2 linked regions of the Rattus norvegicus genome follow. The protein of the gene in region 2 purifies or fractionates together with the protein of the main gene of each other region. This does not show direct contact. Links are inferred from orthologs where the notes say so. Each region holds a gene or a part of one and is shown on either strand. Other genes may lie near its edges.

The links.
Region 1: the proteins of Eif4b (region 2) and Usp11 purify together in Homo sapiens (affinity purification with western blotting; 3 studies listed by BioGRID, with this or other methods). This does not show direct contact. The link is inferred for Rattus norvegicus from reciprocal best matches to the Homo sapiens genes EIF4B and USP11.

What each region holds. Positions count from the first base shown.
Region 1 is NC_086039.1:4,038,898-4,045,172, forward strand, and holds the start of Usp11 (ubiquitin carboxyl-terminal hydrolase 11), read right to left. Parts: upstream 4,140-6,275; 5' UTR 4,131-4,139; coding exon 3,979-4,130; intron 1-3,978.
Region 2 is NC_086025.1:135,100,898-135,105,733, reverse strand, and holds part of Eif4b (eukaryotic translation initiation factor 4B), read right to left. Parts: intron 4,603-4,836; coding exon 4,505-4,602; intron 3,238-4,504; coding exon 3,024-3,237; intron 2,578-3,023; coding exon 2,522-2,577; intron 2,282-2,521; exon of another isoform or gene 1,929-2,281; intron 1,259-1,928; coding exon 1,153-1,258; intron 1,132-1,152; exon of another isoform or gene 963-1,131; coding exon 890-962; exon of another isoform or gene 571-889; coding exon 490-570; 3' UTR 1-489. UniProt on the Homo sapiens protein: Required for the binding of mRNA to ribosomes. Functions in close association with EIF4-F and EIF4-A. Binds near the 5'-terminal cap of mRNA in presence of EIF-4F and ATP.

The DNA.
Region 1 (6,275 bases), on a different chromosome or scaffold from region 2:
AACCAAAGTCTTAACTATCCTTGACTTAATGTGTAGACAATTCACTGTCACAAGAACTAAAACTTTCCAAGGAAGCTGTCTTTTCAGAGATTGGAATGTGGTCTCAAAACATAAGCTCTTTAGGGGCTGGCTCAAGTGCTGGCTGTGTTTGGATCTTCAGTATCTACAAAAAAAAAAGCTGAGCAAAGAGTCTGGCACGAGTCAGGTGGTGGTGGTAGTGGTGGTGGTGGTGTACACCTTTAGTCCCAGCACTCAGGAGCCAGAGGCAGGTAGATCTCTGCGACTTTGAGGCCAGCCTGGTATACAAAGTGAGTTCCAGGACAGCCAAAGCTACTGTCTTGAAAAAACAAAGTTTGGCATAGTGGTAATCTTAACACTTGAGGTGGGCATGGAGACAAAATCCCAGAGGTTTGCTGGCCAGTCTAAAACAGAGGTCCAGGTTCAATGAAAAGCCCTGTAGCAAAAAATAAGGTGTAAGGTGGGTAAGATGGTATAGTAGGTAAAGGTGCTTGCTGCCAAGCTTGCTGACCTGAATTTGATCCCCCAGAAAATACAGGGAACTGTGTCCTACAAGTAGTTTTCTGACCTCCTCCAGCACATGCTGTACCCCACCCTGCCCCCAAATAAATGCATCTAAGAAATTTAATCAGTAAACATGACCAAATTAATTAACTGGAATTGTTTTTAATCTATTATTAAACTAAGGGTGGGAAGTGCAGATAATACTGACAGATGTATGATTTGAAGCTAGTCCTTGAATTCAGATGCTTTATAAATACATATTTCTCAACTGTGACACAAACCCATATAGAACTCTGAGATACTTTGCTCTTACCTAATTTAGATAAGCATCAAAAAGTGGAGCTTGGCAAAATGCTTCATAACAATTCCAACAGGAGAAACAAATTGGCTTTAATACTCAACCAACACTGGTGTGGTAATTATTTTTAATGAGGTGAAGTTAACATAAAATTAACCCATTTTAAAGTGAACAATCATTAACATTTAGTACATTCACAATGTTGTGTACCCACCACCTCTACTTACTTTCAAATGTCTCCTCACCCCCAAAAAGATCCTCTCCTGGCAGGCTAATTTAAAAGGCTATTGGTAAGGATGACAGGATCATGTGTTATCTACCACTAACACAATCATGGCACATCTGTCAATGTAGGAAAGAGGCATAAACCAAAGCTTTGAGAACTGTCTGTACATCTCCAAATGAGTTATAAAAACAGTATGGTTACTGTTGTTTTCAGGATGGATTGAGGCTAGTCTTTGCTGGAGAACTATGAGATAATGGCAGAAAGACGTCACTATATCCTTTAGTTTTGGAATTGTAATTTATCTCCCTAGTAATGCATACACATTTCACTGGCAGTGTTGTTTAGGAAGCCTGTAAAGTGGGAAAACCTGGAAAAGGTCCTAAAGTGTAAAGAACATCAATAGTCTAATGTGGATGTCCCTGATGGAGAGAGGAAGGGGGCTTTTGGGCTGATGCTGAGAGAGATTAGAGAGAAAGGGTACCAGCCTCCAAAAGCCTTGCAGGTCACTCAGGATTTTACCATTTATACTGCATGAGACAGGAAGCTCTTGGACATCTTGAGGAACAGATGGACATAACATATAAATAAAAATTTAAATATCTATTTTAAAGTTACTGCTTAAGAGAAAAACAGTGTCTTAACATTTGAGAAACCTGGCAGAGCTATAACCAACCAATCAAGGTTAATGTCTCAAATTACATCATAAAGATACTATTTACCATGTAATAATATAAGAGCTTACAGTATGTATATGGTCTATTTCATAAACACATTTGTATATATAGTATATGTCTACATATACAAATTTATATATGAATACTGGAAGTTTATTATGATAATGAAATGTGAAAAGAGACCTTTAATTCAAAATTTAGGGTGCTCGTTTCCTATGACAATGGAGGGGAATTTCTATCTGGGAGAAGCAATATGATTGTTTTAAGGTAATGTTCTGAATCTTCACATGAGTGATGATGAATCCACATTTAAATTTAGTAATTTTTCTTTGAAGTAAACTCACTGAAAATGGGTTTTTAAAAAAGCCAGGCATGGTGGAGTACACCTGTAATCTCAGCCAGATTTCTGAGTTCAATGTCAGCCTGGTATAGTGACTTCCCTGACGGCCAGGACTAGAGACCCTGTGTCTAAAAAGAGGGGACAAAATAATACAAAGACTTCTCTGTATGCCCTTAGATTCCCCAAATCGGACACACTTTATCCATTTGTTCTATTCTTTTTTTCCCCATATCATCTCTGAGGATATTTTCATTTATCTTAAACTAGACAAAAAGTGTGCAATGATGGTATACAGCATGATGTTTTGATATATACATTGTAAAACACTAAGTCAAACTACTTAACATACTAATTATGCCACATATTTATTGGTGTAAGATCATGTAAATATTAAGCAATTTTCATGTATAGAATAGGATGTTATTAGCTCTAAACACCATTTTGTACAAGGAAGCTCTTGAATTTGTTCCTCTTGTCTAACTAAAATTTGCACCCTATGACCAGTAGTATTTCCATAGCTTTCTCCCTCCCATGTGCATTTTAACATAAGATAGTTTTTCAATTATTTGGTAAGTTGTTTACACAATGAATGGTTCCTTATCCCTAAATTTTCAGTCTGTATTTTTCACCAAACAAGGGATATTCTTTCAGAACATTACAATTATCACAAACAAAAAAATTATCAGTACCAATATTTTATATACTGGCCTCAGTCAAATTTCACCAATTGTTTTCCAGTAAAATTTATAGTGAAAGAGAAATAAATTATGAGAAAGAACCCTCATTTTAAAAAATAATTTATTTTTCCTGTTCTAGGATCCAAATTATGTGTTGCATAGAATTGTTAAACTGCATTAATTCCTTCAATCTGGAACAGTTCTTCAGCATATGTCTTTCACGGCCTTGCCATTTTTGAAGCATACAAACCATTCCTTTCAGCAGGATGTCCATCAATTTATGTAAAATGTTTTATACTATCATCTTTGTAGGTCTTATGATTTTCACAATTTAAAAATAAACGAGAAGCAACTCAGAAAGAAACCCGGGGAGCAGTAAATTTTAAGAGGCACTGATTAGCATTTTTTAAAAATCGGTCTGACAATTTGTCAAAAGCTGTGGATTCTTTTTAAATACCCATTTCTACTGATTACAAAATATTATCACGTAGAAGAAAATTTCCCAAATAACCTTTTGTAAATCGCCTTTGCTTTCTCCTGTTCTAGGAAGGAGACCTTAGCTACGGGGGGAAAATAATCAAGAAAACAAAAACAAAAAACAAAAAAATACCGCGTCACAATCTTTGCTCTTTTGCAGGCGCCATTTTCTGCCCGAGGCACTGCCCCTCCTCCACAGTTTGCCCCTCCCCAGACCTTCACCTCGTTCCCAGGAGCCAGGCACCCTCCCCTGTACCACACTCCTCCGCCCCTCGGCCCACAGCTATAGGCTATGGAGTTGCTCTTCAGCGGACGCCACCAAGCTCGCTGGGTTCACAGGCGCTTCGAGTACTCGTAGGCCGTTCCTTTCAACCGACGCAACGTTTCGTAACACACGCCACGCCCCCGCCTTAAGTATGGAGCCAGCCTCCTTTCCAGGCTCCAGGTTCCCCCAGACGCAGTCCCCTCTCACCCCCCTCCCCAAATGATGCAGTCCCGACTCCCATGGTCATTCCCTTCCCACCCCACCTCTACCAAAAACCCCATTTTGTCCTCAGGCGGCTGACTGCCCCACTCGGGCCCCGCCTCTTCCCTAAAGGTTGAGATTCATTCACTTAGCACCTCCACGCCCCCTCTCTACCGCCAGCCCGAGCCCCTTCCCCGCCTCGCACCGCTTCATCCTCAGAATTTGATTTCTAAGTACCCCGCGATACTAACAACCCCACGGTCCCCTTGGCCAAGGCTTCATTGAAGCCCAGCCTCACCAGCTTTCGCCAGCTCGCAGTGGACGCTCTCGCCCATTCCCGATTTGGCGCCACTGTTGATCCAGGTCTGGCATTGCCTCGGGCTGTGTCTCTCTGTCCTCAGCAGAGGCCGGGACGGCAGCTGCAGCTGGGTCCGCTGCGACCGCCGCCATCACCGTCCGTCCTCCTCCAACTGCCGACGCAACTGAAGATAGGAAGACGACCCTCAACTGGCACTTCCGGATTCTGTCCCGGAAACGGAAGCAGAGCCCCCCAACAATCAGGGGGCTACTGCCATCTTGGAATCGTCACAATTTGGTCAAAATTGGGTGGTGGTCTGTGGTCTCTGTAACCAATACCAGGGGTTAACCCTCTAGTTTAGAACTAAGACGTTAGTGCCTTGTGGAATTCTCTAACACCAGGGCACCAGGTGAAAAGGTGGAGGCCAAAGGTTTCCAAACTGAGCAAATGTGTGTGTTTAGAGCCTCACAAGGAATGCTCAGGGCAAGTCTTTCACTGCAGACCCCTATTGTGAAAGCAGCATTTCTGTTAGCCTAACTAGAATTACCTTTCATGTCCATCAAAACCAAAAATGTATGGTCTAGAGAGATGGCTCAGAGGTTAAGGGCACTCCTTGCTCTCGAAGAAGATAGGGGTTCAATTCCCAGCACTCACATGGTGGCTCACAACCATCCATAACAGCGGATATAAGGAAATGTACAAGGTACACATATATGGTACACATATATGGATACAGGGTAAACAACATTTATATACATGAAGTAAAGTAGTTTTTTGTTTGTTTGTTTGTTTGTTTTTATCAAATAGAGTTTACTATCTGCCTGAGAGCCTGAACTAGGGTGTGGCTCTGTGGTGTGTGTGTGTGTTTGTGTGTTTGTCTTTTCTGTCTTTGAGACAGGGCCTTTTGCTAAATTGCCCAGAATTTCCTCCAACTCTATGAAGCCCAAGATGGCAAATGATTTGCCTTGATCCTCCTGCCTCAGCCTCAAAAATGAAGGATTGCAGGCATGCACTTCAACACTCAGCTTCTTGAACTAGAGACAAATCTGATGTGTTTGTTGGAGGCAAAACAAATAGTGACTCTGCCCAGTTTAAGTGACTTACTTGTTGGATTTAAATAGTAGCCTTGGATGGCGATAAGTGTATTTTGTTTTTTGCCCATGAGTAACAATGCAGGAAGCCGACAGTCAGAAATGTGATATCATTTGTCCTCAGCTAGGATGTGCCATAGCACTGCACACCTAGTTCCAGAACTGTGTCCTTAAACACCAGGTAGATCCTCAAACTGTGGTCACATGCTATCAGCTCAGGAAACCCTCTCAGGAGGGTTCACAAAATCAAGAATATTTCTGCAGTATCTTCACTCATTTTCATGCATACACAGTGGAATTATTCAGAGGGTATCTTGGACTAAGCAAAAATTCGTTGGGCGTCCTCAATCTTTAATATAAAGGAAATATAATGCCAAACATGTGAGAACCATTGAATGGGCCAGGGGTTCTTTTGGTGTTTTTTGAAATAGGGTCTCAGTTCTGAACATGAAGCTCAGATTGGCCTTGAACTCATGGTGATCATCCTGCCATAGCCCCCCTAATGCTAGGAGTACAGGTTACAGGTGTACCAGGCTCTATGTCAGACTTCAGTACCATTGCAATTTCTTTCTTGTGAGAAGCAGCACTTTGGTGTATTAAGCTGTTCCCTGATCTCTACTACTAGAAAACCCTCAGAACAAAGGCAGTGTATCTCCAGATATTACCAGATGTCCTTAAAGTCTGGAGGTTGTCTCTCTGGGTGAGAAGCATCCTATTAGGCTGCTACCCTTTTCTTGCTCTCAGTTCTACTGGTCAGTGATGACTTTAATTCTCTGTACTTCCCCACCTACTTTTTTCTTTTGGCTGTCTTCACCTGTTGACAACCCACAAACTCCCCCAAAATAATGACTTTGGGGCAGAGAATGGGAGGGCATAGAAAGTCTGCTGAGGAATTTGTAGACATCCTATCCATTACAAAACTAAAAGAATGACAGGAATGGGGAGATGTCCTAGAGTTTTATTTGTTTTTTAAGACAGGGTTTCTCTGTCCTGGAACTCACTCTATAGACCAGGCTGCACTTGAACTCAAGACATCTGCCTGTCTCTGCCTCCAAGGGCGGGGATTAAAAGCATGTTGACACGACCGAAAATAGGCTGTCCTACTTTTTCAAACCTGGGACTAGACAGCCATTGTAGCTTCAAATTGAGATTTCAATGTTTACAAGGACACAGTGATTAAGAGGTTCATTAGGTCACCACTGCTGT
Region 2 (4,836 bases):
AGTAGAGGGGTTGGCAGCCTCCTGGAGACTAAAACAGCTTGAGAGACTAGAGCTACCTAAGGATGGGAAGTTTGTTCAGGTAATGTGTGGGGGTTCACAGGTGCCACCTTAGGATAAGAATTAGAAGGTGGAAATCTCACTTCTCCCTGCGTTCTCTACTGCCTAACTGGTGTGACTGCCTCTCTGTCACTGCATTTCTGCTGAATGGAGCCCCAGGCACTATTCACACAGGTAACTGCTTGGTATCATCAGACACAACTTCCCTGTTCAGAAGCGGTAGCCGCATCTCTGGCTACAATGGTGATTCTCCAGTTACTCCAATACTTTAAAAGGCTGCAGCAGCATGCAAAAGAATTTCATTTCATTAAAAAAAAAGTTTAGAAAGGTCTTCAGGAGATGGTGAGTTTATTTTGTCTTGTCTGGATAGAGGTTTGATTTGCTCTTGAATGTTCCAGGGTGGAGACAAGGAGAAAGCACAGGTGTGGAGGTCTACTCAGTGCAGTCGTCTCCCTCATCCTCATCCTCACCGTCCACAGACAGAGCAGCGTACTTGCTTGCAGAACTGAACTTCTGTGACAGAGGAGAGAGGACAAGGTCATGGACAGAGTCCAAGATTCTCCTACCCAAACCTAAAAACACAACATCGATGTCATGGCACATCCATTCTTCTGGGAGAGCATGTTCTGGTACAGCGGTCAGGGAGGGTCAGGGGCACGAGTGAACTCAGCCACACATCTCCTCCTTATGGGAGCCGAGAAAGGTGGTTTCAACAACAAATGCCGACCTTAGCTTTTCTCACTGATCTGAACAGTACCGATGCCTCACTTCCACTGAAGAAAAGGGAGTCAGACACAGAACTGAGCAGCAGAGGCGTGTGCACGGTACTTACAGAGGCTCGGTTCTCCTCAGATTTCTTTGGCTCAGGTGCAGATCTGGAGTCTTGATCTTTTTTGCCGTCCTTCCTGCAGAGACACAAGCATCCTATTCAACACTGTGGCCAGGACAATGCATCACTTTAGCTCCACAAATCTAACCGGGACTCTAGCTTGTTCAGAGGTAGACCTGGAGTACTTGAGAAAGCCCAGAACCACTTCATAAAGATCCCCGCATCTGATACCAGATTCATAAACGGTGAGGAAAAAATATACACACCTATCCAACTCCTTCCAGTGGTCTCTGCTCCCTCCATCCCCAGGACCACGGCTGGAGTGTCCAGTCTGGCCTTTGGTGGTGCTCACCCCATCCACTTTAGTTTCATCTGTTCAAGGAGAAACACAACACCAAACTCAAGGCTTATACAGAAATCCATCTCCCTGTCCTTACATGAAGAACTCATTAAGGGGAATTACCCCCACTCCAAACCAGCCTAAGGCCTTTCTTTCCATTAAAAGTCCTACTGTAGTGACCTTGGTTTACTAATGGCAACGTTTTGAACCTGGACAGATACGTTTATTCCTGTCCAATTTCCCCACAAAGGCAAGCTTTACCATGAAGAGGCAGCTTCAAGTACTCTTTGAAGAAGTCATTCCTGCCCTCTACTGGCAGAAAAAGCTAGCTCACAGAACATTAGTATAGCCACTCCAGCAGGCCACTCCCTCACAAAAGCCATGGAAAGTAGAAGCTGGCTGGGAAGGGGTAGAGAGGCTAACGGGGCTGCATCGATGAATATGACTGAAATACACCATGTACATGCATCCAAGTGCTTGACCAAAAGAGCTGAAAAAACACTGCAGCTTTCATTAAAGAATGTCTCTTGCTAGGTTAGGTGGTGATGGCATACATCTTTAATCCTAGCACCCAGGAGGCAGAGGCCAGCCTGGTCATAGTTCCAGGACAGCCAGGGCTACCCAGAGAAACCCTGCCTAGATAAACAACAAAAAAGAAAGATTCTTTGGCAAGGTGTTTAATCTTGGAGTTCTTCTTTACAGTTATTTTAACCCCTTGTACCGGCTGGTTTTGTGTGTCAACCTGATACAAGTTGGGGTTCTCACAGAGAAAGGAGTCTCCTTTGAGGAAATGCCTCCATGAGACCCAGCTGTAAGGCATTTTCTCAATTAGTGATGAAGGGGGAGGACCCAGCCCATTGTGGGTTGTGATGTGAGTGGTCTTGGGTTCTATTAAAGAGAGAAAGCTGAGCAAGCCTGGGGAAGCAAGCCAGTAAGTAACATCCCTCCATGGCCTCTGCATCAGCTTCCAGACCGGCTTGAGTTCCAGTCCTGACTTCCTTTGGTGATGAACAGCAATGTGGAAGTGTAAGCTGAATAAACCCTTTCCTCCCCAACTTGCTTCTTGGTCATGAGCATGAGGCTTGTGCAAAATAGAAACCCTGACTAAGGCACCACTGGATGTGTTTGCACTCAAAGATTTTTTTTTTTTTTTGGTTCTTTTTTTCAGAGCTGGGGCCAAACCCAGGGCCTTGCGCTTCCTAGGTAAGCGCTCTACCACTGAGCTAAATCCCCAACCCCTGCACTCAAAGATTTAACTGGATTAAAAATCTACTTCTTTCCTGGCATGGGCTCACCTTTCCTTGATGGTCCTTCCTCAGAGGGCTGAGCTGGAGCAACTTTCCCTCCACCACTGGAATAAAGCAAGTCATCAGCCATCAATTTTTACAGAAAACACAAGCTTACACCATTTTCCCAATGTAGTAGGTATCCCACACTAAGATATTAGAATACTGGAAAGACAACGAAACAGTCACTTCTGTACTAAGTGTCACATGCTTTGGAAATCCAGCATGGTTAGCTGGAGTCTGGGAAAAACTGAAGAGACTCACTGAAGTGAGCAGGGTTACACTGTATGTCCCAGGGCAAAGCATGTCTAGTATTTCTGGGGTAAATACTCCCACCATAGTTGATCCTAACCCATCAAAGTGATGTCAACTGGCCAACAAAAATCAGGAAAACATGTTTTGAGACAACAGTGTATGAATTATACAGGAGGCAACCTCATCTGCCATATCACACAGGCCACACTCCCTCAGGGCACCTCCAGCTAAGCAGCTGCTGTCACAGGCCACTCACCTTGTAGGGGACGGCTGCTCTGTGTCTGAGCTCTGAGATCGAGCAGGAGGGTTAGAGCTTCGCTTCACCCACGCATTCTCCTTTGGTGGAGGGGCTGGCATTACCTTTAGAGGCTGGTCAGGTTTAGGAGGCTTAGAGGTTGGAGAGTGACAGTCTTCTTCTTTATTGAGGGTTTCATTTTCTAGAGACTTCTCACTCTCTCTCCTTCGTGTATCTGTGGGGGAAGAGGGACTCGCTATACAGAGCCCACCTACAGTGTAGCAGCAGGGGACAGGGGGCATCGCCATGTTTTTTTCCATCAGCAGACACTAACTGGTTCCTGATAGCTACAGTTACACATAAGCCAATGGTTTCCAGGCCCCTGGAGAAAAATGCTTCATGGATACAGAAAAGGGAAAAAAAGCTATTGAAAGAACAGCAATCTTGTCTTTAAACGAATGGGCATTTTTTTTTTTTGAGTTATAACTTGTCTGTCTGTCTGTGTGTTAGGACGGCCATAACTGGGGATAACATGCTCTTGTGAATGGGACTCAGGACCAAAGTCCAGGAGCCACTGCTTAGCTCCAGCTCAGCTCAGCAGACAAAGGCCTTTACATGGGAACTAAAGCCAGACACATCTGTATTTGAATAAAACTCTACCGTGGAGCCTGCTTTGCCAGGTACCTCCTACATCTGAAGTAGCAAAGTGGCTACACAAACGGACATCACACTTTAACCAGGCAGAAGGAGCACGGCATTATGTTACAGGGCTACTACAAAGAAAGGTGAAAGGTTTCCAGAAAACTCGTACAACACTGGGTCAAGTGACAAGTCTCCTCGGCTTTGGGATGTTTTAAAACATCGAGTACAAGCAAACTTGGAGGGAGGAGAACCTCTATCTACAGCAACCCAAAGTGAGTGAGAGGAGGAAGGGGCGCTGTAGTCAGTGGTCCAGGACTGCGACAGTACACACAAGGAAATGAGATTTACCCTCAAGAACACCACTTTAAAGTTGCCTAAATAGCATCAAACAATGCCACTACAAGGTCAAAAACCAGTACAGAGTAAGGCGGCTCAAAAATAACTACACTGATGAGACAGAAAATAGGGGCTGGCAAGCTAGCATGGCAGGTATGGCTGCGGGTTACTAAAACCTGCTGGGGTCAATGGCGAGAACTCTCTCTGGAGAAAACAGACTGCTCCAAGTTTTCCTCTGGCCCTGTATCATGATGTAAGACCCCACTCCACAAAATAAATGTTAAAAACATAAAAACAAGACATCTAATGGTCAACATTCTCTTCAGTGACAGTTATCAGACCAGTGAAGTCCATTCTCGAGGAAAGAACCCATCAGCCTCAACAACTCAGGAGCTTTTGACCAGTCTGGTCCACATAAAATTTCAGGACACCAAAGGCTACATGGGAAAGAGACAATTTAACCCTGCAAAGTGTTTGCATATCTGGGAAACAGGGACACCAGTATCTACCCCAGTCTGACTTACTTCTGCCAGATGTGGCTGAGGTCCCAGTCTGCGATGACTCACTTCCTGTCCTCGACCGTTCTCTTTCCTGAGTTTCTTCACTTCGCCAACTTGGGTGTCTGCACACAAGAGATAGAAAAAGAAAGGACACTTAAAGCCACAATGAATCTGATAGAACTGTTTATAGAAATTAACATCTATTAATACATGGTCTTGGTGAGCACAGGCCAGAGGACAATCTTGGAACCGTTCCTTAGAAGCTATCTACCTTGTTTTTATTTTATGTGTGTGTTGCCTGCATGTATGTCTGTGTACCATGCATGTGCTTGGTGCCTATAGAGGCCAGATATCAC